Nothobranchius furzeri: one gene and its partners. The protein of the gene in region 6 interacts with the protein of the main gene of each other region in a pairwise test. Links are inferred from orthologs where the notes say so. Each region holds a gene or a part of one and is shown on either strand. Other genes may lie near its edges.

Evidence for each region.
Region 1: the proteins of fhl3a (region 6) and slc25a46 interact in binary tests that used the Homo sapiens proteins (3 or more experiments, as listed by UniProt). The two-hybrid records come from large-scale screens. The link is inferred for Nothobranchius furzeri from reciprocal best matches to the Homo sapiens genes FHL3 and SLC25A46.
Region 2: the proteins of fhl3a (region 6) and mrm3a interact in binary tests that used the Homo sapiens proteins (3 or more experiments, as listed by UniProt). The two-hybrid records come from large-scale screens. The link is inferred for Nothobranchius furzeri from reciprocal best matches to the Homo sapiens genes FHL3 and MRM3.
Region 3: the proteins of fhl3a (region 6) and fosl2 interact in binary tests that used the Homo sapiens proteins (3 or more experiments, as listed by UniProt). The two-hybrid records come from large-scale screens. The link is inferred for Nothobranchius furzeri from reciprocal best matches to the Homo sapiens genes FHL3 and FOSL2.
Region 4: the proteins of fhl3a (region 6) and rfx3 interact in binary tests that used the Homo sapiens proteins (3 or more experiments, as listed by UniProt). The two-hybrid records come from large-scale screens. The link is inferred for Nothobranchius furzeri from reciprocal best matches to the Homo sapiens genes FHL3 and RFX3.
Region 5: the proteins of fhl3a (region 6) and metal transporter CNNM3 interact in binary tests that used the Homo sapiens proteins (3 or more experiments, as listed by UniProt). The two-hybrid records come from large-scale screens. The link is inferred for Nothobranchius furzeri from reciprocal best matches to the Homo sapiens genes FHL3 and CNNM3.
Region 7: the proteins of fhl3a (region 6) and snrpg interact in binary tests that used the Homo sapiens proteins (3 or more experiments, as listed by UniProt). The two-hybrid records come from large-scale screens. The link is inferred for Nothobranchius furzeri from reciprocal best matches to the Homo sapiens genes FHL3 and SNRPG.

Annotation. Positions count from the first base shown.
Region 1 is NC_091746.1:69,900,821-69,905,213, reverse strand, and holds the start of slc25a46 (mitochondrial outer membrane protein SLC25A46), read right to left. Parts: upstream 2,811-4,393; 5' UTR 2,659-2,810; coding exon 2,394-2,658; intron 2,190-2,393; coding exon 2,147-2,189; intron 1,849-2,146; coding exon 1,791-1,848; intron 1,722-1,790; coding exon 1,644-1,721; intron 1,561-1,643; coding exon 1,460-1,560; intron 1,308-1,459; coding exon 1,251-1,307; intron 1,179-1,250; coding exon 1,121-1,178; intron 1-1,120. UniProt on the Homo sapiens protein: Transmembrane protein of the mitochondrial outer membrane that controls mitochondrial organization.
Region 2 is NC_091753.1:47,256,206-47,260,228, reverse strand, and holds mrm3a (rRNA methyltransferase 3A, mitochondrial), read right to left. Parts: upstream 2,588-4,023; 5' UTR 2,551-2,587; coding exon 2,195-2,550; intron 1,956-2,194; coding exon 1,711-1,955; intron 1,638-1,710; coding exon 1,476-1,637; intron 1,397-1,475; coding exon 798-1,396; 3' UTR 581-797; downstream 1-580. UniProt on the Homo sapiens protein: S-adenosyl-L-methionine-dependent 2'-O-ribose methyltransferase that catalyzes the formation of 2'-O-methylguanosine at position 1370 (Gm1370) in the 16S mitochondrial large subunit ribosomal RNA (mtLSU rRNA), a conserved modification in the peptidyl transferase domain of the mtLSU rRNA.
Region 3 is NC_091758.1:42,824,306-42,827,346, reverse strand, and holds the end of fosl2 (fos-related antigen 2), read right to left. Parts: intron 2,916-3,041; coding exon 2,376-2,915; 3' UTR 592-2,375; downstream 1-591.
Region 4 is NC_091746.1:53,263,963-53,268,378, reverse strand, and holds the start of rfx3 (transcription factor RFX3), read right to left. Parts: upstream 2,828-4,416; 5' UTR 2,659-2,827; intron 2,641-2,658; exon of another isoform or gene 1-2,640. UniProt on the Homo sapiens protein: Transcription factor required for ciliogenesis and islet cell differentiation during endocrine pancreas development. Essential for the differentiation of nodal monocilia and left-right asymmetry specification during embryogenesis.
Region 5 is NC_091746.1:39,506,278-39,510,360, reverse strand, and holds the start of metal transporter CNNM3, read right to left. Parts: upstream 2,915-4,083; 5' UTR 2,814-2,914; coding exon 2,130-2,813; intron 2,057-2,129; coding exon 1,722-2,056; intron 623-1,721; coding exon 446-622; intron 1-445. UniProt on the Homo sapiens protein: Probable metal transporter.
Region 6 is NC_091745.1:70,520,442-70,524,523, reverse strand, and holds the start of fhl3a (four and a half LIM domains protein 3), read right to left. Parts: upstream 2,827-4,082; 5' UTR 2,685-2,826; intron 1-2,684. UniProt on the Homo sapiens protein: Recruited by SOX15 to FOXK1 promoters where it acts as a transcriptional coactivator of FOXK1.
Region 7 is NC_091755.1:44,511,890-44,516,279, reverse strand, and holds the start of snrpg (small nuclear ribonucleoprotein G), read right to left. Parts: upstream 2,885-4,390; 5' UTR 2,764-2,884; coding exon 2,732-2,763; intron 2,556-2,731; coding exon 2,533-2,555; intron 1-2,532. UniProt on the Homo sapiens protein: Plays a role in pre-mRNA splicing as a core component of the spliceosomal U1, U2, U4 and U5 small nuclear ribonucleoproteins (snRNPs), the building blocks of the spliceosome.

The DNA of each region.
Region 1 (4,393 bases), on a different chromosome or scaffold from region 6:
ACACACACATACATACATACATACACGCACAAACGCACGCACACAAACACATATATACACACACACATGCACGCGCACACACACACGCACACAAATATACACACACACACACACACACACATACATACACACACGCACGCACACACACATACATACATACACACACACACACATACATACATACACACACACGCACAAACAAACACACACACATGCACGCACACAAATATACACACACACACACACACACACACGCACGCACACACACACACACACATACAAACATACATACACACACGCACGCACACACGCACGCACACACACATACATACATACACACACACACACATACATACATACACACACACGCACGCACGCACACTCACACACACACACACGCACAAACAAACACACACACACACGCATGCACGCACGCACGTACACACACACACACACATATATATATACACACACATGCACACACACACACATATATATATACACACACACGCACATATACACACACACACACACACATATATACAAACACACACACACGCACGCGCACACACACACCCACACACATATATATACACACACACACACACACACACGCACACACACACACACGCGCACACACACAGCTTCACTGCACCGGAGCATGTGATGACATCATGAGACACATGCCATACTGCAGCCAATAATCATAAAAGGATCGCTTAAAATTGTTAAAACCAATCAATAAATATGATTAAAAACAAAGTGAGGGGAAAGAGAACGTTACAACAGAGTCACCGTCCAAAAGCCAATAACAACGTTAGGTCTTCAAGCACGACATGAAGACAGCGACGGATGAGGACTGATGGATTGGGATGTGGAACCTTCCAGAGGATGGGGCAGCAAACACAAAGCCCCCCTGTCCAGGGTCCGGACCTGGTAGGTTTGGTTCTGACGATGCGCTGGTTAGGTTCCTAGGGTCCAACATAACGGACTCCATCTTTGGCTCATTGAGTTTTAGATGGACACAGGAAGTGAACAGCCAATGACCTCAAAACCGACCACCAACAGGAAGTCTGAGTTTACCTGAAGCCATCTTGATCAATAATCAATAATCAGTCACCTGGACGGTCTCGATGAGGCTCGAACAGTAAAATGGAAGAGCTACAACAGCTGTTAATCTGTGGGTGAGAGAGGGACAGAGGAAGTCAAACAACAACCACAACAACAACAACAACAGGAAGTGAACAAACCCTTTGAGCAGTAAATGTCCTGCCAGCTGTTTCCAGCCCCAGTTGTGAGGGAGCTCCCTGTAAACACACACACACACACACACACACACACACACACACACACACACACACACACACACACACACACGCACACACAAAGTGGAAGAAGGAAGAATTGTAGTGGGAGAATTGAGTTCTGTGGACCTGAGGAATGATGACCATGTGGTTACCGTGGTAACGATGTCACCTCGCTGATGATGCCCTCGGCGCCGAGTGTGATGCCGTGAACGATGAAAGTGCCACCCATCCCCTTCCACAGCGCCTTCACACCCTGGTGGGACACAGCATCACCTGATCCACACATGGACTCTGACTAACCTGATTGGTCTTGTTCATGGATCAGCTGATCAGTACCTGAGCTTTGGTGATGGCTGACATGACAGAAACGATGCTGAATGGAGTCAGGTGGTAACAGCGGGCGTGGTAGTTCACCTGAGACAAACAGCCAATCAGAAGGCAGCAGATCCCCACAGGTACAGGAGGTATTGATCAGACATGTACCTGGCACTGTCTACGGAACACGATGCACGGGTGGGCCAGCACATTCTCTGTGAAGAGACTACAAACAGACTTTTATTTTGAAAATCCCTCCTGTCCCAGGGGCTTTCATCCCTCTGCTTTGCCTGACAGGCTGAGACCAGACTCTGAGAAGTTTGGTGTGATATTAAGAAAAGCTGCAGTTTCCTTCACCAGAACCAGATTCTGATGGGCTTGTCTAGGGGCCAGGTTTAAAGTGTTGGTTATGTAAACTCTACCGGGCTTGTGGAGCTGCAGAGTCCAGACCTGAACCGGGTCAGATCGGAGGCAGAACCAGAACCTGGATGAATTATGCTCAAGGGGGTCTGGTGGGAGCTTACCTGACGAGACCGATTCCGAACCCGGCGAACCGGTTCAGCTGATCTGGAACCCAAACAGAAAAAAACAGAGTCGAAACCAGAACCATTGGAACTGGTCAACCCGACCTTTCTCTCTCTCATTCACACTCACTCATACACACGCGCACACACGTATGCAGGTGAGTAAAGTGCCTGTGATGCGTTCACTGACACCTGGACCTGAGACGCTGTTAGATAGACTAGAACCCCGGCATACAGGGAGACCTACCGGCGGATGGCACCGCCGATCCCGGGCCCTCCCAGCCGGCTCCGGGACCTCCATGGCCGGCTGGGAGCTCGTCCTCCAGCGGGGTACGCTCTCCCGGGTGCAAGTTGCGGCTGCCCGGGATGTCCGGTGGCGTAGTGACCCAGTGGTGGAGCTGCGGATCGGACGGGCCTCCGGAGCTCCGGACCGAGTATCCGGTTCCGTACAGCGGATCGTCGCGGGCTCGGTATCCAAACCCGTCGAAAGTATCCGGCCGCCTGGAGGCCATCGGGGAGCTGGTGTGATTGCAGAGATCCGGGGTGAAAGCGAGTGTATCGATGACAGAACGGAGGACTCGAACCGACGGAGGTCGATCGATCAGAAGCAAAACATCCACCTGAACCCGGAAGTACTTTTCTTCTTCGTCTCTCCTTACAGTCGCAGAAGGTATCTATGCTGCCGCCCAAAGCCCGGTTCCAAACAGCTCGGCGGCTTCTGGCAGGACCCTTTCTAACTTCCCCTGTTGTCAGAACGATGGGACCAATAATGTGTATTTATTACTACGCTTATTATGTATTCTATTAAAGCAGTAAACTTTTGGAGGCGCAGGAACAGCATTAGGGTAGCCAGACCGACAGGAATACGTAGACGCCCCATTGGGCAGTGGGAAAGCGTAACATAGTCGCCGCCATATTGGACGGGTCTCCTCAAATTAAATGAGAGCAAAGTAAGAGGTGTGTGTGTGTGTGTGTGTGTGTGTGTGGGGGGGGGCACAAAAATAAACAAAGGATGTACAAGAATCTGCAGAAAGGAGGAGAGACACAAAAATTAAACATAAACAGAATATCACTAAGCAGTCGGTTCTGATGGACGGGTTGTCGTGTTCACTCACACTCAAATTATAAAATTATTATTTATCAAATTATATTGACACTATATGTATATGAACTACACAAACACTCATTTATTTCAATTGTTATTGTGGCAAGGTGGAGAAATGAGGGCCCAGGTGGGATTCGATCCCCAGACTTCTGGGCAACTCACGCGCACTAACTACAGAGCCAAAGGGACATCCCCTTAGCCAAGTAGCCTGGTCACATGATCAATCGAGATACAGTGAAGGACGTTTAAATGCAATTGATTTTGAGTCAACGACTGGGTCCATCGAAATGAAATGGTTGCAATCTTTTTTATAGAAAAGTAACAATATTTGTTTTTTCTTCCCAAAGTTATATTTGCGAACCTTGGATCTGTGGCGTAGCCAGAAACTCATTTGTGGAGCCTCTCATGGAGCTGTGCCACACACACACACACACTCACTGATTCATTCAGAGAGCACACTGCACCAACTCTGGCTCTGCGCTGTCAGACTGAAGGCTGAGATGAGAGATGAGACACCTTGTCTACTTTTAAGACTAGGCTTAAAACATTTTTATTTGATAGGGCCTATGGTTAAAATCTGATGTTAGCCTAGATCTGGACAAATGGGGGAGTAGAGGGAGGTGGAGTGTACAGTCAGTAAAGACGGCTCTCCCTTGCCCTGCCTCCAACATGCCTCCATCTAAAAGGCTAGGTTATCCAGAGTTATCTCTGTAGTTATGCTGCTATAGGCTTAGACTGCTGGAGGACACACTGACCACTTTTCACACTCGACTACTTTCTTTGGGTCGCATTTATCAAGCTTGCTTACGCACAAAACGGGGTCGGAAAACTGCATAAGCAACTTTCCACGCAAACTTTAGGATTTATGAAGGAAAACTTAGCGGAAAAATGTACGAAACTTTAAGTTGACTAAGGACCTGGCTTACGCACATGTTGAACATGGAGAGCACCTGCAGTGCTGCTGCTGAGTAGTATGAAATCCTGCAGCATTATCACTTGTACCGCTTCGTTTTCACACAGAACAAGATCCCCCCCTCCCCCCACACACACACACGCACGCGTGTACACACACATGCAGACACACACACACACAGCCTGAAGCGCAGAATACGAAATGCAGAATATCTGCAGGGGGACAGATT
Region 2 (4,023 bases), on a different chromosome or scaffold from region 6:
TTTCGGCTTGAAGGAGAGAATTTTGTTCATCTTCTGAAGGACGTGCTAATCCAGGAAATTCTGTCAACCAATTCAGTTCGATTCATAATTTTTATTGCATAATCCAATTTTTTTCATTTTTATTTATGCAAATTTATTCTAACTATAGTTCTCGCCTTCCCTTCTAAAGGTTAAATTTACTTCTCAGACTATCCACAACTATTAATTCTAACAGCTCAATTTAAATTATACAAAAAGGAAATGTTTGCTATGGAAAGGTAGCTCCTTCATGATCAATCTGGTTTTAAGGCTCATTTTAAGTCATTTGTCATTTAGTTGCTATAGTAAGCAGTGATTTTGTAACTATTGCAGATAAACTATAGCTGTGTTTTGTTGCATTTTATTATATCTACCCATTAAATCCATAGTGACATTTCAAAAACAACCTTGTTTTTTTCTGAACTCGTGATATGAGTTAAAATGTTTTGAGTTAAAATCTTTAAAACATGCGTTTTGCTGTTTTAAAGAGAAATTCAAGTTGTCTTTGATTAATTAGGATATACAATTATTTGAAACAGTGAAACTCCAAAGACTTATGTCAAATGATTGAGGAAAGTTTGTAATAGCCTCCAATTACAGATCAGTTAATATTCATAAATTGGCTCAATGACATAGCTAAAAGTAGTCCTTAAAACAAAATATATGAACACAAATACAACACCTGATACATAAGCTTTGCAAAACCTAATTTAAACTCGGGATTTTACTGCAAGACAGATGGATTATGATACATTTGGTTCCATATTCAATTGGAAACCTCAGGAAAAGTTCCTCTCAGGTTTAGACTGACGTTTCTTCCCAGATGTTTGCAGCAGCGTTAACAGCTGCCTCCTGCCTTCGAACAAAAGGATGCTGGCCGCCATGGCCGAATTCAAACTGTCCACGTCAGGAACAACAGGAATAAAAAGCCTGTGACCGCTGGTTTCCTCAGCTAACTGGACCGCTTCCACGCTCAAACCGTGCGTCTCTCCACCAATCACAAGCGCAGAGGGACTCCGAGTCCAGGTCTCGTGGTACAGCTTGGTTTCCACTCTGGAGAGCTGAGGGCCCTCGTCTTCAGAATCTGAGTCAGACTCTGAGTCAGACTCTGAGTCAGAGTCATATTCCTGGTACAACATGTTTTTACCATCAGGCCTTGAGCTGACCCATCCAAAGTCTCCTGGTTTGGACGGTTTGTGAGACCCATTTCCCCCTGTTTCAGCACTTATGTCGGGGCCGCTGTCAGCCACGTGGACAGTCACCGATTTAGGCAGATGATTTTTAACATCATCCCAGTCCAGATTGGGATAAATGGGTAGTCGGAAATGTGCACCCATGGCTGCACGTAGAACTTTAGGCTCCCAAGCATCAACACAACCTGTTATGAAGATTGTAAGCAGAGACATTAAAAGCTGTGTATGGATGCTCAGATGTTAAACTGGAAGTATCAGCATTACCTTTTGTGAGCAGGACTCTGTGGCAGCCAGCAGCAGCAGCACATCGCAGCATGGTCCCAAGATTACCCGGATCCCGGATATTATCACATATCAGGGAAAGCGGCACGGACTGTCCTCTTTGTGAAAAGTTCAACCGTTCCGGGTTTGGCCGAGAAAATATGGCTGCAGAAAGTTTAAAGAGTGATTTGGATGTCAAACAGCTCAGGATACCTACACCTCAAAATAAAACTCTTACCGATCACTCCCTGTGGTGCAACAAGATCAGACCAAATCTTTATGTCCTCAGACTTGACTTTGACAAGCGTGGCTCTTCTCAGCTTGTCTAGAGGCAGCTCCTGGAGTCGCTCCACGGTGCTGAAGAACACCATCTGTGGACTGGCGTTGGCCTCCAGAGCGTCACAGATCAAACGCCTGCCCTCAAGGAGGATTTTGCCCTGGTGCTCACGGAATGTCCTGGAGCGAGCAACGCTTACTAGCTTCCTGGTGGAGAGGTGGAGAGGGAGAGACAGCTCATCATGTGATATCACCTACACTTTCTGGACCGAAATATTAGTAATTTACCCCCATGTGTAGGCCTGAGCGTTTATGGTTATTTTTTATTACAAGAAAAAAATCAAATCACAATTATAATAATTGTTTTAAGATAATAGACTACACAATGGGATGCAATCAAGCTCGTGGCAATTAAAAATAATATGAGATTTAATACAATTGCTCACGATAATCTTTTGTCTCCGGGAAAAGCCCTCTCAAAGCGAACTCCGTCCACTTGATCCCTTGTAACAGCAACCTGGGGACGCTTTCCACTCGACTGCTCAGTGATTTTCATTTTAACTGCATCTTTTCTCTCAATATTCTGTGTTTTAGAAGTGATTCTTGTCGCTTTTTCTTCTGGCTGCTGATGAGAATTCACCACTCTACTAGAGTCGTTCTCAGGAAACAAAACTCGGACAGGTTTCCTCCTCAGTCCACGAACAAGTCGTTTGGATTCGACGATAATAGTGTTAGTTTTGGTTAGAAATGCATTTCGTTCGGTGGAAAGCTGACATAACACGCTTCTCACGAACGCTGCCATCTTGTACCTTCTTCTTTTGTCCGTAAACGTTGCTGTAAGACGAGGTAAAACGTTACTGCCACCTGCTGGAAGGTAAAGTGAACTGTACGTGTTAAATTTTCCACCATAATTTCTAAGGTTTTAGTTTGCTTCAGATAGATTAGGGTCACCAGCCTTTGTGAAGCTGAGAGCTACTTCAGAGGTACTGAGCCATACGAAGGACTACCAGGCTGATCTTTGAACTGGAATAGATCAGTTAAACTAAACTTCATGTACAATAAACATAATGTATTGTGTAGATTTAAAATATATATTAATGCATTTGTGATCAAAAAGATGGCAGCAGAAATGTTTTTTATTATTATTGCAGACTTGTGCTTATTTAGTTCCTGGGGCACCAGGTTGACCCCTGAGATAGAACCTAGTCATAAATTATGTGTAGCCATCTTGCTGAGTGACAGGCAGAAAGAAAAGAAAGAAAACGATATATCGCCTCTCAAGATAAAAATCACAAGGTGCTTCACAAAAAATTAATATAGTATAAATTTTTTTAAAAAGATTAAAAATATGTTTAAACTGAGAGAAAAATAAAATAAAAAGAGTGATAAAAATAATAATGTAAGTAAAGGGAGAGAGAAAATTTATAGGAAAGAGGTACTGTGGGGGAAAGGTGGAATAAATAGAAAGAGCAGAATAAGGAGAGCTCTCTTTATTCTGCTCTTTCTAGGCTCTTTAGGCTTCTTTCTAGGGTGGTGACGTAGGTCACGCAGAAGCCAGCTTGAACAGGTGAGTTTTCAGCTGCTTTTTAAAGGAAACCACTGAGTCCACTGATCTCAGGCTCAGGGGGAGAGAGTTTCAGAGTCTGGGGGCCACAGCAGCAAATGATCTGTCACCTTTGGTCTTTAGCCTGGTGCTGCACAACCAGAGTGTTACTAGGAGCAAAGTTTACAAATAGAAGCAACGTCATGTGCCTTTGACCTCCCCAAAATGCAAAAAAATAAGCTTATTTAACATAATTAAAATTATATTAAGATTATATTGTGAAGTTAAGGGACAAAAATAAGCCCTATAGTCTCTGGAACTCACTTCCTCCCAAACACTGAATCTTTTACTCTGACCCAGCTCAAAACACATCTGTTCAAGCAGATTCACTTTAGATAGAGATTTTACCTGATTTTAGCTTTTATATTGCTCTTAACTGTTTTATTAATGTTTAGGTTCTTATTTCTTTTTTATCTCCGCATGACCCTGCATGGGTCGTAGAAAGGCACCCTCAAATAGAATGTGTTATATACTTGATATTTTGGCATAGAAGAAATAAGAATCTTCAGATGTGTTCCTTGTGAATTAACCTATGGAATGAACTGTGTGTGTGTGTGTGTGTGTGTGTGTGTGTGTGTGTGTGTGTGTGTGTGTGTGTGTGTGTGTGTGTTTTACACGCTTTATTTTCCTGATGAACAAAATTTTGAATTATTTTATCAAGAAAAAAAAGTT
Region 3 (3,041 bases), on a different chromosome or scaffold from region 6:
GGCTAACGCTGCTGCGCTAGCTAACGCTGCTGGGCTGGCCAACGCTGCTGGACTGGCTAACGAACGCTGCTGGACTGGCTAACGAACGCTGCTGGGCTGGCTAACGAACGCTGCTGGGCTGGCTAACGAACGCTGCTGGGCCGGCTAACGAACGCTGCTGCGCCGGCTGACGCTGCTGGGCCGACATTTGTAATTCAACACCGGCCAGTGTTTTGTAGAGAACCAAAGCCAGCAAACAGGAGCGACCCAGAAGCTTTTTCTCGTACCCCGAGAAGCCACAGCATCCTTTTGCTTCTCTAATATCAGGTGAAGCAGGAGCGACTCAAACAGATTTTTTATTTGCTCATTTTACCTTCAAGTTTATTAGTTTATCATTTAATACAAAAAAATCAAATGTTCTTTTTTTTTCTAGACCTGAACATATTTAAAATAATGTTTCCATCTATCATTTGTTAATAAAGCTCTGAAGTTCTGAAGATAAATGAACCGAAACACAAAATGTTTTACAGTGTAGAAAAAAATCATCAACAATAAAATAAAATTAAACTTTCTTTGTGATTTTTTAGAACAATAAAAACAAAAAATACTTTCTCCAACTTGAAAATTATTTTATTATTACTGTTTTTAAATTAACAAACACTGCTATACATATTGCTGTTTTTATTCGTTTTGAATCATTTTAAACAGGTAAAGCATTTGGGAAAAAGAAGAAACAGTAGCTGAACGGGCGACAGACGGCTGATGACACGTACGGTAGATGATCTACCGTCGACGGCTTTTCTACGAGCGTCCAGGGGCGTTAAAACGCTCCGACAAACAGATGGTTTTGGTTTTCCTCTCATCTCTCAACGCTGGAATAACGGCTCCCCTCGACGTGTCACAATATTAAACACGGAGTCACGTCAAATCAAAAACAGCCCACCTGTTCCTTTTAAACAAGTATCAGCAGCTTGCACAATGTGGTTTCTGCATCCGACGCAACGTGAAACGTTTAAAAAAGGTTCAATCAAAGATGGCGGCTTCCGTTAAAAACCCCTGAAGTTGGACTCTTTCTCTCGAGTAAACAAAGAATCTCCGGTATGGCTGCTCCGTCTGTTTCAGTGCGCTTCGTTTTAACCTCCTTAAAAAATACAAACAACAGCCGATAAGTTCCCTAAAGTGTTCACTCTTTCACGTCAGGCCAGCTGCAGAAAAAGTCTTCTTCGTCCCTTCGTCTAAAAAGCGCTGGCTAGGATCCGGTCGGTACCTCGTGCACCCAGAGATCAGCACATCTGAGCAGAAGTTAAACATCATTTCTTTACTAAAAGTGACAGATTTACAAACACCGTAGAAACAGGGTTGACATCATTTGGCAGCTGGCGGCAGTCTGGACCAACGTGGCTGTTTTCAAGTTTGGCCAAAATCCCTCCGTTTTAGACAAAGACTGACGAAACACCGGCGTAGAAAAGCTGTTTGTGGCTCTTAGAAACCTGATCTGCCTGTGAGAGGCAGGGGGAAATACAAAAAAATAACAGAGTTTGCTCAGGGAACAAAGCAGGAGGAGGGATGTGTCCAAACTTTATGAAATGTCTGAGCAAAAAGACGACGCAGCGAGGCAATGCAATCAAAAAAGTACCACCTGAAACAGCCAGCAGTCCTGCAAACACTCGTCACGACGAGTTTCCACTGAACACAGGAGAGGGAATCCCTGACATCCATGTAAATCACGTACACTTTGTCCAAACAAAAAACAAAAACGTCGAATCACTTGGGAAAAGAACACAAGACTACCGTAAATTCAAGCCACTACGGCAAAAACAGAAAGTACTGAGGAGCTGGTCGCCGACCGGCTCGACGGCGAGCGACGCGGAGGCGGCGCCCGGCAGACGAGCACGCTGCTTTTCTACAGGCAGGTTTAAAAAGGAGAGGACAACCAGCACGGGCCATAAATACAACGAGATGATGGAGGTCGCAGCAGGAGCGCGCTCCCGCCTCATCCAAAGTCTCTCCTCGGAAATCCCGGAACGGCGCCGGCCTCGCTCCGTCGTTTACCGTCCGATTGGTCTCGGCAGAGTGCAAGTGTCGTTGAGCCACATGGCTTTGCTTCCATGCTTTCAAAAATATATATTATTATATATTCTTTATATATTAGGAGGTTCTCTGGCTTCGGTCGCACCGGCGCCGTCTTTCTGCAGACGCGGCGGTGGACAGGTCGACACTCTGGAGTAGAAGTGGTTGATGTCTTTTCGAGGAGCGGGAGCGCGGCATAGCCCTTGTGGGTCCCCGTCCCCTCGGCTCACACTGTCTGGACTTTAACATGTGCTCTAAGACACTGGGGTGGGTGGGGGGGTGGGGGGCAGGGTTCGGCCACAGTGTTGGCGTTTGCCCCAAAAAGCTCAAAGCGCCAGCAGCGTGGGCGAGTTGAGGGAGTCGGACGACTGGTCGCCGCTGCTGCTGCTGCGCCGGTGAGCCTTGGAGCAGGACTCGGAGGAGGGCGACGGGCTCTCGGGCTCCATCATGTTGGGGTAGGTGAAAATGAGGTTGGGGGCGTTCGGCGTGGCAGCTGGAGTGGACGCCACCACCACCGGCGTGTTCAGGCTATCTCCGTCCGGGCAGTACATCCCGCCGCTGATGCCGCCGCCCCCCAGGCAGATGGGCTTGATGACGGAGCGCTGAGGTTTGCCCACCTTGTCCTCCTCCATGTCCTCGGGCTCCTGCTTCACCACCACCTGGCTCAGATGAGCCCGTGAGCTCATGTTGGGGCGCATGGTGAGCGGCAGGGGGGCGCACTGCTGCGGCTGGTGGCGCTCATCCATGGGCAGCTTGCACACGGGATTGTGGGCCACCAGCATGAACTCCAGCTTGTCTTTCTCCTTCTGGAGGCTCTCGATCTCCTTCTGCAGGTCCGCCTTCTCCTCCTCCAGCTTCTCCGTCTCCTGTTGGGTAAAAACAACACGTGAGCTCGAGGGGCGCTCGGGAAGAGAGCAGTCTGTAAAAAACTAGAAATCAGCCAAATCTGGAATAAAAAGCACAAAAAAAGAAAATAAAGATGAATTAAAAAC
Region 4 (4,416 bases), on a different chromosome or scaffold from region 6:
ACACACACACACACACACACACACACACACACACACACACACACACACACACACACACACACACACACACACACACACACACACACACACACACACACACACACACACACACACACACACACACACCATTCAGACGCTCCCTTGTGGCCCACTTAAACGCCGTGCTCCACTGAGCAAGTGTGAGCCCTACAAAGACACGAAGGAACAAAAGCCACCAAGGAGCGCAACACTGCACCCTGAGTTTTCTTCCTGCTAGCATACCAGGCCACACAATCCTGGAGCTCACGAGGCTCACAGCAGCCGCTAACGGAAACCACAGAACACTATAATTTTCCTCCGTAATGACAAAGTTGGACGTGTAATGTATAGAGTAAAGGCATACGCGAGAGTGAACAAGACTGATTGCGGTCGAGAGAAATTCTTTTCTTGTTCTTGGTGGTTTGATCAGGTGGCAGGAAAACAGGTGGAGGGAAATCTAATTGGGAGCTGAGGAGGTGGAGGGTATGCAAAGAACTGTGTTTGTGTAGGGGGAGAAGGAGGAGGGGGGGTGGTTACGATTACAAAGGAAAGAGGGACTGACTTCCATCGTGAGCACCAGTAATGCTGATTTCACAGTCAAAAACTTTGCATTTATAAAAGATCCCATGAGACTGTTGAACATCTCATCTGTTTATACAGGTGAAGCTAATGAAAAGTGTCAGAAATCACTGGTTACCACAGGCCTTCTGCTCATTTCAATAACCAGGAGTAGGAAGTGATAATAAAAAGAAGTAATCACCTTTAAAAAGACCATTATTTCATTAACATTACAGCAGGATGGCTGTGATAAATTACAAACCAAACATGCTGCTAAAGCCAGGAAAATGGCCGACAGAATAATTGAATTAATCAGCCCCTCTTTAAGTGATTGGAAATGCAACAGGATCCAGGTAGCAGGTGGCATGGTACTATTTCTGCCCTTCTGGACCACAGGTAAGTGGAAACCTGATCTGATAGCTGCCAGCTCCTAACATCCACTTTTGTGTGTGTGTGTGTGTGTGTGTGTGTGTGTGTGTGTGTGTGTGTGTGTGTGTGTGTGTGTGTGTGTGTGTGTGTGTGTGTGTGTGTGTGTGTGTGTGTGTGTGTGTGTGTGTGTGTGTGTGATCAAGATGACCTCATTTAGCTTGTACATGTGAACAGATCTAAATGATTTTAGTATATAACACCATAATGTGCTCAGATTATGCAGCTTTATGTTGATCCAGTGGAGATGATGTGCTGTGGCGCTGTTGGGTCCAGCTGGGTTGGATTCACAAATTATTATACAACACCTAAAACACTATAAGAAAAAAGGAATTATGAAGTTTACCTGTACCTTTTTTTTTTTACTGAACAATAACCTTTTGCTCTTGAAGATAAATCAGGACATCCTAAGTCCCCACCTACCCCTTCCCCTCACACACACACACACACACACACACACACACCTGCTTTCTTCCCAAATGGGATTCAGAGGTTGCAGGTGAACATGAGACCCAGTGGACCTAAGAATAAAATGTGATGCAACACAGAGAAACCAATTTTAAATGGAGCACCAACAGAATTAAAGCACCCCTAAATGCCGGGCTGTTATACTGTTGGGAAGAATAGGTATACAACAAATCTGCCTGACAGAAATTATGTTTAAAATTCCATAAAAAATTAAAAATCCACCTGTTAAGAAATCCTTTCTCCTTATACATATGTAAAATGAATAGGCAACCATTTAAACTAATTCTCTCATTAGGTCTGAACTTGTTTTAATAGTTTTAGAAAAAATGTCAATTTAACAAATCTTAAAAAGTAAATAACTCGACGGGGTGCAATGACGTTTACCAGCCCATTTCCAGGATGTGCCACTCAGAACCCTAAATGATTCCACTAAACACAACCTTTATCCAAATTGAAAATGTTAGCTCACTCAGAACTATTTTCTCCGAGCTGCAGAACTTAGTGTGGTGTTATCTGAAAGCTTATCACAGCCATCTGATGCCACAAAGAGGGCAGATGGAGAGCTAGCGAAGCTATCTTGTAGCAAAAGACAAAAGGGAAAGTAATGGCTTAGCTATTGTCAACCAGTGAGTGAGTGCAGGGCTAGCTTACGACACTTTCCATTTGCCAACAGCCGTACAGATTTTCTGTAACCGACCAGATTTCCTACACATCGAAACACAAACTTGCAACATCAGCGTTGACGTTGCCTCCCAAAAAAAACAGGATACCAACAGGCATTGTCAGGAGGCATCGCTGGCGTTAGCAACAACAGACACCTGCTCCAGCTGACCAGTTAGCAACGCTGACTAGCCGGCAGCTCTGCTACCACAGCGTGGAAAGTTAAAACTACAAAACATGTTCAATAATAGAAACACTTTTACAAGTCGTTTTAGCTCCGCAGCGTTCCTTATTTCCGTATAGCTTATCTCTGCTAGCAAAGCAGGAGCTCTTCTCATAACGAGTTCCCACAAGGAACCTTAGCAAAGCAGGCTAACACGTTACAAAGAAACACCCTCGCTAGAGCCTTCAACCCAGCAGCAGACAAAACACAAACCAGAAGCAAACCTCCCGCATAAACCCCTCTCATCTTGTCAGAGGAGAAAGCGCTTGCATTCGGGCTAAAAACAGCGAAGAGTTGAGCCAAACCTGAGCTGCGGACTGGTTGATGAAGATGAGGATGTTGGAGGAGGTGGTAATGATGGAGCCAGAGGTTGTTGTTGGTGGGTTACAGTCGCCAGGACTACGGTGACTATGGCGTTGCCTCACTGGGCAACAGTTGCTATAAAACTCATCTGCAGCGCTCAACCTTCTTACCAGGCAGGTGGGAGGAGATTTAGGCGCACATATTCATCTGAAGAAATATAATCAACCCGATTAAAAAAAAAAACTAAACATGTGTCCATGGCTGTCCGTTAACACCCGAAGTCACGGCTTTTTGGCCTGATCTAGTTTAGACTTTATAGAGACTTTAAAATTGTTTGGCGTAAAAAAAACCTAGAAAATCAAATCTTACAGAAGAGATTGTTGTGATTTGCCAATTATTAACAAAACAGTTTATTTAAATGGGTTTTAAACAAAAATCTTAATTTTATTGGGTGAATAATTTTGTTTTTAGTTTTCTTACTTTTATTATAGGGCATAAAAACTGTCTTATTCTGAGGACTGACAAGGTTACAAGTGTGTTTTGTTATTAGAGAACATGTAACCGTTGTAAGTATGTGATATAAATTGATAGTTTTGTAATTTACAAGGAAAAAATTGCCTCCACCGGGGCGGTGGGGTGGGGGGTTCCAAGGGGGGCCAGTGCCACCATGACAGAAAGTTTGGACCCCTGATGAGAGCAGAGCATAGGCATTAAAGGTCAACTTTACTCATAGCTTTAATACATTTGCAGTGGTCTACAGTAGGAATTAATGCCTTGCAATCAATTTTCTGGGAAAAAAGCTCTGGTGCGCCATTTTGAGGATGTAGAAGTCAGCTAGAGGAGAAAGTGGCAGGATATGGAGTCTTATTTCCTGATATTTGGATATCTTACCTATGACTGGCCAACAGAAACCTTATCTTTACTCAAGACAAAAATAGCATGATACAATCAGTAAACAGCATGAGGTGAACTGTATGAAACACAACTTAGCACAAAAATGCTCAGAGTCTGAACCAGGAAATGGCTGCAGGCATAAAGCTCTGGAACAACCAGTGACTTAGCCAATCAGCACCCAACAGTCGTGATGCTGGCCCAGGTCAGAGCACTTGGAACGTCAAGGAAGCAGTGACTTAATTCATGAACTGCCAGCCATTTTTTGATCAGAAAAGCCCTGCGCTGCCAGCGTTTTTCAGCGTTTTCAATGTTTTTTTAAGAGTTACAGAACATTGCGTGCTAGGATGATATCAACGCCAGAACTAACAAAAGAAAGAGTAGACTCACCTCTTACTCCACAAAGAATCTGCATGTTTCAAGCATTATCCATTCTTTCGTAATCCGTTGTCGAATTTTGATCGGCCTGCGACCTTCCGATTACTGGACAACTGACTCTACCTCTGGAGCTACTGCCGTTCCATTGAAACAGGTGGCAGCAGAGTTCTATTTTGTTTCAAACTTGTTCTATTTGGAGAAAAGGCCTGTGGGCACCTTATATGGTTCCTGGGGCACCAGGTTGGTGACCCCTGGTGTGGAACCTTCCCTGAGAATGGGGAACTCTTCCCCTAAAACAAGATTCTAACCAGTTCTCACCCTTCTTAATGTTTTTTTAACCCTCAGGAGGCATGGTGTTGCAAGTTTGCAACGTTAAAACCTACCTACCTGGTTACCCCACATACGTATTTCATCAGCATTTTTTAACTCAGAAGTACGCCTGAAGGACTTAGTTGTTGGTCCTTTTATCAAAACTTAATTTGAGCCTGAGA
Region 5 (4,083 bases), on a different chromosome or scaffold from region 6:
TGCCTACGACTCCTCTTGCTTTGCATCTTTATCTTTAACATGATGCAGAAAGTATTTTTAGTTGCTGAAAGCAGCCTGATCACACAGATGTAACGTCTGCTACAGCGCCCCCTGGTGTTTGGATCCCAGCACTTATGTTTGTTTACATCTCAAACCAGCCTGCTCACCAGTCAGAACTAAAATATGAGAAAATGATGAAGCTGATTAGAAGTAAACTGTTTTCTTATATGTAAAACTGTAACGTGAATAATAGGAATATGTAAAAATTAGGGTTTTCATTTGATTAAAAGGTATAAAAAAAGTCCGATCTAACATCCCCAAACATGCAAACCCTTTGCTCAAATTCTTTCTGACTTGACTTTTTGCACTGCATGTTGCAACACGATGAACTCAAATAAAAACATTAGCGTAATAATAAGACATATCCCTGTGCTGTTGCTCCCACCTCTCCTCTTCGTAGATGGGCACCCGGGTGTACCCGCTCTGCATGATCTCCGACATGGTGGAAAAGTCGAGAACAGCTGAGCTCTGCAGCATGAAGCAGTCCTTCAGAGGAGTCAGGATGTCCTCCACTGTCTTTGTACGCAGCATCCCACGGCTGAACTCCTCCTTCACAAACTCACTGCACACACAAGCACACAAAGACAACAGACAACGTTAGAGTGTTTAGTTTACGACTTTATTTTTTCTGATGTTAATCTATTTCTGTTTTGAGATCATTATGATTTGATGACTTTGTTTTGTTTTGATCTATGTGACGCACTTTGTGATTCTATGTCTGTGATAAGTGCTATACAAATAAAATTTACTTACTAGTTGTCTGGACTCTGGACTGAGTCCACGGAAAGGTCAGGACTTAAGTCTTTGCACAAAGATTTCAAACTCCAAGCTTCAAGGTTGGTTTTTTTTTGTTTATTCTCTTCATTTTTATTTCCAAGACCACTATATCAAAGTCTTTGAGACTGCATGGTGTTGCAGTTGGTAACACTGTTGTGTCAGAGCAAGAAGGTTGCAGGTTTAATCCCAGCAGCAGCCTTTCTGCATGAAGTTATGCTTTGCTACATGCATCCATGAATTTTCTCCAGTTTTCCTAGTTTCCTTCCCACAGACCAAAAACATGCATGTCTGTTTAAAACCGTAAGTCTCTTTAGACGCAGAATGGTGCACAATTTCAGGTTTCTGTTTGGTTAACCTTGAATCAGCTTAATTCCACTTCACAATTGTGTGCTACGTTGTCTTCTATCACAGAAAATCTCAGTAAAGTGTGGTTGTAAATTGTTTGTTTTAATGTAGGTTTTGTGTTAGATTTAAGTAAACAAGTAAAAATGACTTGTATAAAGGGGTAGGGATATATAAGTTTCCACTTCAGCCTACTCCTTTTCAAACACAGATGGGATGATATGTATTTTTTCTGTTTGTGGTACTTTTTAAAAAATTATGTACATTTTCTTTGTTTGAAATAAACTAAACTAAACTAAAATGTGTCAAAGTTCAAGGGGTCTGGATACTTCTGCAGTATCACAATAATAACATTTTTGCATGTTTTTATTTAAAAAATTATACTTATAGTTTTTAAGCCATCAGACAAAGTCACAGATCAAACTGAAGGTGTCTGAAAGGAACTTAGACCAAGTCCTGTTTTAGCCTCTCAGATCAGTTCTTCTCCGGATGATTCAAACCCTTATTTTAGATCCTTATGTTTACCAACAAAGTTATTTTACCTGTATGGGTCGTTGACACTGGCTCGGATCATCTCCATGGCTCTCTGCCTTATCCCACAGGTGCTGATGTCCCTTCCCAGGCCCAGGTCCAGGATCAGCCCCAAAGGGCAGGACAGAGGGCAGGTGAGAATCATGCACACCTGGGCCAGCCAGGTGAGCGCGGGCGCCATCTGAAAGCCGTAGTCGGAGCACAGGATGTGAGGAGCCAGCTCAGCCAGGAAGAAGATGAGGAATCCGCTGGTAAAGACCGCGGAGACGATGCACCCCAGCGCCTTGTACAGCAGCACCCCCAGGACCGAGTGTCCCAACGCGCACAGGAACAGCAGCGAACAGGTCTGGACGGAAACAGGAATGGTGGGAACACGGACACAAAGCTGCCTTCCCGACCTGCTGGGCTCAGAAACTCACCAGGAAGTTCCCTCTTCTCCTGACGGGCTCCAGGCGCTTGGCGGCTCGTTTCTCCTCCTCGGACCCGCAGCTGTGGAGCACGTAAAGCTCCACCGGGTCCAGCCACAGCAGGCTCAGGTTCACCGTCCGGAACACTCCGCACATCAGCAGCAGCAGCACCACCAGGAGGGCCAGACCCCACGGCGGGATGTAGTCTGCTCCGGGACTCTCCTCGGGACTGATCCGGAGTCTGTCCGGGCCAACAGAAGCCCACCTGCCCCCGCTCAGCGCACACAGGTGGTGGAGGCTGCGCCCGCTGCCCTTCACCTCCACAGTCAGCAGTCCGCTGAACTCCTCGTCCGGGATGAAGTCCTTCGTCACCTGGAAGGCGGACTCCAGACGGCTGGACTCGTCTTCGCACGGGTCGGGGGCATCACCGACCGCCCCCGTGGCTCCGTCAGCCGCCTCAGCGAACGCGACTTTCGGCCAGCTTCCATTCAGGTTAGCCCCAAAGAGACGGAGCTTGAACGTGGCTCCTTCTGGCGCTGAGATAATCCGGTCCTTCATGCACACCAGCTCTTCCGGGTCCTCCAGTCGCAGCCCCACAACCTGCGGAACTTCTTGGCCGCAGGCGCTGTCTCTAATCCCGCAGAGCAACACTATTATCATCCACAGAACCCGTAGACCTGCCAAGCTGGCCACCATATTGGAGATAGTCAGCCTTGCTCTGCGCGGGTCACGTGACTCTTGCTTGGCGGCCCCGCCCACCTGGAGAACTCATGAAGCTGCGCACCGGGGGCGGACATTTTGGCTCAAGCCACCCAAGCTGAAGACGGGAGGAGTCGGGAGATGAGCGGTCATTTTGGAGCTGGATTCTGAATGTTTTTGTTTTCAACACGCCGCCCGTTGGCTGTGAGAGTTCGCAGCGATGAGTTCACGCCCATCTTTGTTAACATTCATCGAAACAAGCCCCTCATGACTGTGGCTGACGAAGGCGCTTTGTTTGCCTTTTAACGTTTATTCAGAGCTCATAAATAGGTTTACCTTTTCCATGTCCGTCTGAAATCGATTGCTAATGAGTTACAAATTCAATTAGATGTATGCCATGTTTTTATCATCCTAGTGCTTTACAGAATAAAGTTATCTATTAGTGCTGACAACAGACAGCAACATGGCTTGAATAACACACGCTTTCAATTCTCCTGTTTTATTCTTTGTTTCCTCAGGCCACCATAAACCAGTCTTGGGATATTTACAATTCGCCATTGGTTTAAAAAATGTAAATAATGGCTACCAGGCATTCCTGGCAGCATTAGAACTGGTTAAGAAGGACAACATCTTAAAAATTATGAAACAGTCTGGCAGATTTTGACAATATCTGTGAGTGAGTTGAAGGGCGGGCAGTATGGGATCCAGCACAAGTCATTTATGAATGGAAGATATACTCGACCAAATAATTTCTTCATTATTGGGCCCACATATACCGTGGGTACAGAAAGTATTCAGACCCCCGTCAATTTTCCACTCTTTGTTATTTTGCAGGCATTTGCTAAAATCAATTAAATTCATTTAATTCCTCATTAATGTACACACACCCCATATTGACTTGGCCATTCAAGAACAGCCACACAAAGTTGTCGTGATGCCATTCCTTTGTTATTTTAGCTGTGTGCTCAGGGCCATTGTCAGGTTGGAAGGTAAACCTAACCCCAATTTGAGGTCCCTGAGCACTCTGGAGAAGATTCTCGTCCAGGATATTCCTGTACTTGGCCTCATTCATTGTTCCCTTGATTGCAACCAGTCATCCTGTCCCTGCAACTGAACCTGAATCCAGGTTCAGTTGCAGGGAACCTGTAAGGACTCCAAAGCGCTTTACACTGTAGTGTAAAGCGCTTTGGAGTCCTTACTCTGAGGGGCGCTATACAAGTGCGGGTCATTTATCATTTTAACCCCTCCCCCCATGATGCTGCCACCG
Region 6 (4,082 bases):
CTAAATTCTGCTCCCAAACCACCTGCATACACTTGACTTCCTCCATCATTATCTCTGTTTCAAATGGTGCCAACGCATAAAACCAGTCCGAGCTGTTCAGCCGTCATCCCAGTGCAGTTTAGAACTGGCCGTGCTCCAACCATCGCGCTGGGCTAAGGGCTAACCTTTGGAAAACACTGAGACCTCCGAGGAATGTGAGCATGGTCAATGAAACGGAGAGGGAGGAAGACGGGAAAAAAGAAAACAAATACGTTGTACAGCCTGTGGGCTCTGTCAAGGCAAACTTCCCAGCTGCTAAATGGGATAGAATGACTAGAGTTTTGGCTGCTAGAGAATTATTTCTGCTTGTTACCAGGACAAAGAGTTTGTGTAAAAATAACCTGTCAGTGGGGAGAGCACAGCAGGATTCCTCCAAGCCCTCCAGGCTATAAATTCTGCAGCTACAGACAGAAAAGAGCAGAGCTGGAGTGGCTTTGGCTGTTGTGTTAGTGAGGACGGGCTGAGCTCAGGTTCAAATACACGTTATGCAAAGAGCAGGTTCACTGAAAAACCTTTTTTTACTTCTTATTTTTAAAAATGATCGGTCACTCTGAGTTTAACACACAGACTGAATGTTGAAAACAGTCTCCTACACTTATGTCCTGCATTTGCTTCTGATAGAAACTACTCGAAAAAAAATGCTTGGTTCAGAAAAGCCTGACAGATCCACGTCAAACTGTCATTTAACATTCATGGACTCGCCTATCTTGGCTCGCAATGGGGAAGGCTGTTGTTAGTTTAGCATCTAGCAAACAGCAGAGTAGAAGCTAACGTTAGCATTAGCAACTCCACCACACAGCAGAACTCCTTCAGGCTTGTATTATTTGTGGGGATAAAAAAATCAGCTTTGGCAGAGCCGCGTTGCTGTCATCCAAATCCCAATAGAGATGTCCAAATCTTAGGAAATAAGACTCCCAATCCTATCGTCTGAAGCGTCTTTCTCCTCCGGCTGACTTCTACGTCCTCAAACAGGCACGCCAGAGCTTTTCCCTCCAGAGAATGACTTACAAGGTGTTCCTTCCTACTAGAGACCCCTGCACATGTATTAAAGTATCAGTAAAGAATTCAACCAACCACAGCTCATGTACGATGCAGCAGGGTTTATGATTACTCTTGAAATGTAAATAAATGAACGTTTTAACAATATATCATGTTTTAACCGTACTGATTTATCAATATGAGACCGCAATAACACAAAAGATTCCAACTAATTGGAAACAAACTGCAATCATATGCTCCCCTGAATGCCCACAGCCATGGACGGTGTTCCAACATGTGGCTTTATGCTGTGGATATCACTGACTGTTACAATAAAAAAAATTGCGGTTGCATGTTTTCCTGAAATCATATAGCTCTGCTTCATTCGATGCATGATCTCTGAAGTCGGTTTAGCATTTTCCTCCTAATCGCACAGTTTTGCTCTCATTTTCTGTGCTTTCAGCCGCCGTGAATGAAATTTTCACACTAAATCTCTCAATAATTTGGTGTGCAATCTTCTGAGGAAGAGCCAAATCCAATCAGACACAAACTGGTGCACAAGTGGAGAATGCTAACCTGGAAAAGGTGAAACAAATCAATAAGGAAAGGGATTGTAGTTGGAGGGCTTTAGCATAGTTTCAGTGTGTCGCTTCTGGTTTGATGCAACAAGAAGTTCATGATGCAAACATTCAACGTGATCCTTTGCTTTGATATCCAGAAATCAGTCAAATAAGTGAAACGTTCCCTTAATAATCGCCCGTTTCACATTTCACGCCTCTAATGTCTCTGACTGTCCTTCCAACTAAAGCCAAGACAACACAACGAAGGACTGTGTGAGGACTTGCAGTTTCTCCATCCCACATCTTTATCCATCCTTCTTATTAACAAGTCTGAACACTTTGCCCTTCCTCCAGCTCCCACATGAAGCAACACGTGTGCCTAGCAGACGTTACGATGATGACAGCTCACTATGTAATGCGACGTATTGATGTTCAGCCAAAACGACTCCAGACGCTGCAGCACAGACACACCCAAGCAGACGCACACTGCTCTATCCCACTTCCTCCTGCCACTGAGATGACACGTTTAGGCTTTCTGAAGGCTCACACACCAATGTTGTGCTCTTAATCCTGCTTAAATACAGGTAAGTGGCTCACATAAGCCAGCAGAGCCCGTTTTCCCACCAAGATGATGTTATTTATATGGTTTTTGGCTCACTGGTTAATTTATTTCTGTATAAGAGACAAGCGTTAAGCAGAGCGACAAAAATAGGTGTGATAATGCAGACATCTGTTGTAATTTTCTGGGACATTTTACTGAAAGGCTAAACCTTTATCCACCACCTGTTTATTCACTTTTACTGATGAAATCATAAAGAAACAGAAAAGTATGTTAAATTTTGGACTCTACTCACCCTTTGCCCTGATACACCACATGCCATCCTTTTATAAAACAATATCCAGTGGCTTATAATCCCAACATTTCTTTAATGCTCAGACTTCATTGATTCTTTCTGAACCTTTATTTTCTGTTAAAGCTTCACTTGGTATTTTAAATGGGCCTGAAACTTTGTACACGCCAATGAATTTGTTCAAATATCAGTTTTAAAGTAGTTTATCTGGGAAAAAAAGTAGAAAAATCCATGAGGGATGTAAATTTATTCTTACCAGGAGAGAGGAAGCACCTTCCCAGCACTCTTTTCTGTCTGCTGAGTCCAGCTCTGATCAGATCTAGGATCAGTCAGGTCCTCCAACAGCGTCTCTGTAAAACTTTCTAAGTTCTGACTGAAGTCAGACCTCTGATGGATGCAGTTTGCCGGCTACTTTTGTCCTACTACTGAGGAAGTTGCTGGTGAGTCACAAGATCCCGCCTCCCCTCTAAAAAACAGACCTCCTCCCCCCTCCCTCCCTCCCTTTCTCTCTTTTAGAGACTTCAAATGAGAGCAGGGAGAAACCCAGACAGGAGGCTGGATTCAAAGCATTTGTCTCAACAAGAGTCAGTTTTTAAATAGTTGAAGAGTTTTAAAGACGTTTTTGTTTACATTAAATTAATAAGTAATGTTGTTAGTGAAAATGGTCGACAACCTCAACCCAGCTGGCCAGGATCAGTAATATTTAATTGAGGCTAACGAACACAGTACATGTTTAATTATGACACTCTGCTCATTATGGATCAACTTTTAAAAAATGGTCCTGAAATTTTAGAAGAAATCAAAATGATCTATAGGTAGCCAAAGCCATGGGTCTCCTGAAAAAAAAAAAAAGAAATGAATGAAGTCAAAAAGTTATTTTCTGGGTCCATTTATCCTCTCGCCCTAAATCACACGCATCGTACATACTTAAAGAGCAAGTCACCCCCAAATCACCCTAAATAAATGAGTGTCTAATCGTGCTGCAGACACGTGTAGTCAATAGATTAACACTTTAGTGCATTTTAGTTAAAATTTTAATTTTCTGCCTAAAACTGTCAGTGTTGTGCTGTTGTCAGGTAAACTCTCTGCACTGCATTTGAATTTAAATCTGCCATCGCTATTGGCTAAGGGGTATCCTAGAACATTAGCTGGTACCATTTGATGTCACAATGTAGTTGTGAGCCTGTGTGTGTGTGTGTGTGTGTGTGTGTGTGTGTGTGTGTGTGTGTGTGTGTGTGTGTGTAGGTGTGTGTGTGTGTGTGTGTGTGTGCGTGCGTGTGTGCGTGTGTTTTAGTGGCTCCGCCCTCTTGGTGTGCTAGGCCACAAAATTTGTTGCATTTTTCAAACAGGAAGTGGGAGTGAAGTAAGAATCTGGTAATGATGTGTGTTTTGACTATGTCATGTAATTTGAGATTTATTAGTTTGTAAATATCCATAATTAAAAAAAACTACAAATCAGAAGTCACATTTATGATGTCACCACAGAATCTCCTCTCCCCTAGCGTAGCTGCTGCTTACATCATCGCAAGATTTATGGTGGTTTTCTACACGTTTAATGTTCCTTCTTTCATCCTGGAAGAAGGATTGGAAGCTCGTTAAACTCACAGCCATTTTTCTTCTCCATGCCTGGTTTGATGACATTTGGTGAGACGAG
Region 7 (4,390 bases), on a different chromosome or scaffold from region 6:
GCATGGTAGAGAGAACGCACGCTAACGCTTGGGTCCACTTCACTAAATGTGATGGGTAACTGGGTGATGATGAAACCAGTAACAACGATCTAAGTGAGACATCCTCATCTTAATCTGCTCCGGTAGGTAAATAACATGTTTAAGATAACGTTAGCTCGATATGTTAGCTTCCGTTTCGCTAATGGTGTGTTCGCTTTCTCCTCGGAACTTCGAATTTCCGACTGGAATAACATGAACGCGCTCTAAAGTTTGGCTTCACTTTACTAAATGCGACGGGTGATTGGGTGAAGATGAAACCAGCGACAACGATCTAAGTGTGAGGCATCATCGTTTTAATCTGCTCCAGCAGCTAAATAAACTGTTTAAGATAACGTTAGCTTGGTATGTTAGCTTCCATTGCCACCGTTGTTATCAGCTAATGGTGCGTTCGCTTTCTCCTCGGAACTTCGAATTTCCGACTGGAATAACATGAACGCGCTCTAAAGTTTGGCTTCACTTTACTAAATGCGACGGGTGATTGGGTGAAGATGAAACCAGCGACAACGATCTAAGTGTGAGGCATCATCGTTTTAATCTGCTCCAGCAGCTAAATAAACTGTTAAAGATAACGTTAGCTTGGTATGTTAGCTTCCATTGCTACTATTGTTATCAGCTAATGGTGCGTTCGCTTTCTCCTCGGAAATTCTAACTTCCCAGTAGGAAAAATCAAATGAAAAAGACGGCAAAAGGAATGAAGATACACAGTAAATTTAGTTCACAGTAAAGACGTTTGCTTCAGTTTAATTATCAGCTTATAAAACTACAAGGACCATGTTAAAATACAAACAGTTGTATGTTTTTTATCGTGATATTTATCAAATATGGTTATATATTGAGAAAAATATATATTTAATTATAAAAGAGAATTAAAATAATAAACACTCAAAAGTATCTAAAATTGATACCGTTAAGTACCGGTATCGATTCCTAGGTACCGGGAATTAGTACCGGATCGATTCAAATGTCAAAGGTACCCATCCCTAAGTCTGACTGAGCGCTTCCAGGAGAAATTATGAAAACAATAACGCGTGTTTGGAGCATCGGTTTAGAGGAGCGTCCTGCGATCCTCTCGTGTGAGTAGACAGTCTCTCTCTCTGATCGAGCGGAGCGCGCCACATGACAACCCGCTCAATTAACATAATTCACGGCCCAAATCCAACAGAACCGGTCGGGCTGATTTGGTTCCGGCTCAGGTTACAACTCTAGCGCTCAGCAATGCAGTACCACATCAAGGCGGAACCACGTGGTAAATGTGGAGGACGCTCACTCTGACAGATGCTGGTGCCGCCGTTAAAAAAACAAAACTACATTCCACTATAATCGATTACGGCGTACTCTTCTACGATTTATGTCCGCATCCCGATGCATCGATTATTTTCCTCAGCTCTAATTTGAATGCAGGAAAAACCCTGCACAATCTTCACAGAACCCCTGCAAACCAAGCTATTTACCCCAATTATGCAGCTAAATAAACAAAAGTAAATACAAACATTTAAAATCTAACCAAACATTAGCTGACATGCCTAAAAAATGATTTTACACCAACAGAATGATCTCTTAAAAGTTATCAAAGAAATATATTTATTATTGCGCATGTGTATACTCACAATTGCCTATCCCTAGACTCACTCTGTCAGTGTTTGAGGCAAGCAAACGACCGGATGCAGTCTAACTTCCTCCAGTTTAACAAAGACGAGACTGAAGTTATCGTCTTTGGGAATCAGAAGGTTAGGATGGACGTTACTGCTCAGCTCGGCTCCAGAGGAACGAAGACAAGGCAGCTTTATGTCTCGAGCACGTTTCAAACACAGAGGCAATCCTATGTGCTTTACAGTCACCAGGACATGATAAAACACTAACTACAACACACACAGATAGAATTACAGTTTAGAGCTAAAGGACAAAGACTCATAACTGATTCAGACCTGAGCTGCACCGGGTCAGAACCAAGCAGGGTGATGCTGCACACAGATGAAATCAGCTTCCCCGCGAGCTCAGATGTGCCCCATCTCTGGTCTCTTTATTCATCTTCCTGTCAGTCGTTGCTCCTCGTGCTGCACCTTCTGCTCTGGTGTTCCCAACCCTTCTCAGCCTTTTGATTTGACTTAGATGGATTTTAAATCTGCTGGTTTTTGTCAGACTTGCTTCATAGACCCAGACCAGGCTGAGCACCACGGAGGACAATGCCCTCCACCCTCTAACCTTTAACCCTACCCTGAGAGTTTAAGCACACCCCAACCTACAAGCGGCTTTTAAGAAGGACTGAAAACGTTTCTCTCTAGTAGATCTTTTATAGTAAAGCTTTTCATCTTTCATAATCAACATTTTCCTTTCCTCTAAACGCGTTGAGATTGTCGTGATGTAAAGCGCAACACAAATGCAATCGATTATTATTCCGTCACGTGGTTTTAATGTTTTAGCACCTTAAAACTATAAACTCTTCATAATCACAATAGGGGCTTTAAAGACATATTCGTAAAACGCCATACTCACATGAAAGCTTTTTATCCATGAATCTGAAACATAAAACAACATTTCAGGCGACGGTGGTTCACAGTTCAGGCAGGGTTGCTAATGTTAGCCTCATGGTAAAGAATGGAGCAAAGCTAACAGGCTAACACGTTCTTTCCGTTAAAATCGTGGAAACAAAATTAATAATTTCTAATTGTTATTTTTAAACACGTGAACTTACTTCTTCAGCTCTGGCGGGTGTGCTTTGCTCATTCTGTATCGTTTTTTGTACCGAAGTCCGGTGAGCTAGCTCGTCGGGGTTACGTTGAACAAAACCGCGGAAGGAAAATGTGACCGGAAGTGAAGCAGTTAGCGTTTACAGTCCCACTACGCCCCCTCGAGGCGGGGAGGAGAACGTGTTAGGGTTGGATCTGCAAATATCTGCAAGAACACTTTGTTTCAAACAACTTTTACAATTTTATTGTCAATCTTACAAAAAAGCAAAAGTAAACGTAAGTATTACATATTATACTGAAATGTATTTGAAATGTAAAACGATGTTAATAAGTGCATATTTTATGTTCCTTCTACCTTATTGTTTGTATTCAGTTGACCATTTATTTTGCTGTTGAACGACAGAGATGCATTGTGCTGCCTGATTTTTACCTGTCAGACCGGAGTCCCTAGCTCCCAGCAGTGTCAGCTCAACTTCGTTCTCTTCTTTTCCAGGATGGAAATCTGTTGTGCAGTTTGTATAATTTACACAATTTAACCTAATCTTTAAAGTTATTCTTTCATTTCTGTAAATTCTCATCAAGTTAAAAAGTATAGTTAAAATTAAGCAGATTCAACAGATAACAGGAAGAAGAGCTATTTTTGACAAAGTAAAAAACAACAAATAAAATTCAGTGAAACCAAGTTTGACTATGAAAACTCATGGAAGCCCACAACCAATATCTAAGAACACAATAAAACCAGATTGTGATTTCAAGAAGGCAACTGTAGAAGTCAAGTCCATTACTCGAACTCCTGAGGCTGCTAGACCGGGACCTGGTTGACGCTCTGTGTTGATCCGATGTTGACTAAATTACTTGAACAGCCTTAAGCGTGGAGTTGTTATGATAATGCTTCTTGTTTAATGTTGATTGCATTCCAGGATGTAACAATGATAGGAGTAATCCGATTACTTTCCCATTCAAACGTCTTCATGCCACAGCGGTCAAAAACCTGTTTGCCCTTCCGGAATAGTGCCTGACGCCAACAATGACATCACTACCTTTATTCCGACCAGTAACAATGACATCACTACCTTTATTCTGACCAGTAACAATGACATCACTACCTTTATTCTGACCAGTAACAATGACATCACTACCTTTATTCTGACCAGTAACAATGTGATAGAGTGGGAACTCTGGAAGTTATTTGCTGATCTGACAGTATCTTCAAGATAAGGGCTCCGGTCAGAGAGCAGGGCACGGAGAGACAGTTTTACGTATTTAATGACAGTTGAAGTATGGACATCTGTACATTTCTGTGGTTCCGTGTGGTCTGGAAAATAAATACAAAGAATGATGTAAAAGGATTGTACAAATGGTGAAGTAAATATGCCAACGTTTAAGACTAAGCAAAAACAAATATATTCCCAAATGATGCACATTCAAGGGTAACACAGAGTAAATATTGTGACTTCCAGCCTCAGAGGCACTGACAAATTATATGATCTCCAGGGACCTCTGGTGGTCAAACCAAGGTACTGCTGTTGCAAGTACCACACTACTAAACCATGCTGCCAATTAGCCTGGCATTATACCACACCTCAACTGAACTGACGTCATGGATGGATACACATGGAGTAAATGGAATAAAACTCAAATAAACCAGTATTTAGCACACATAA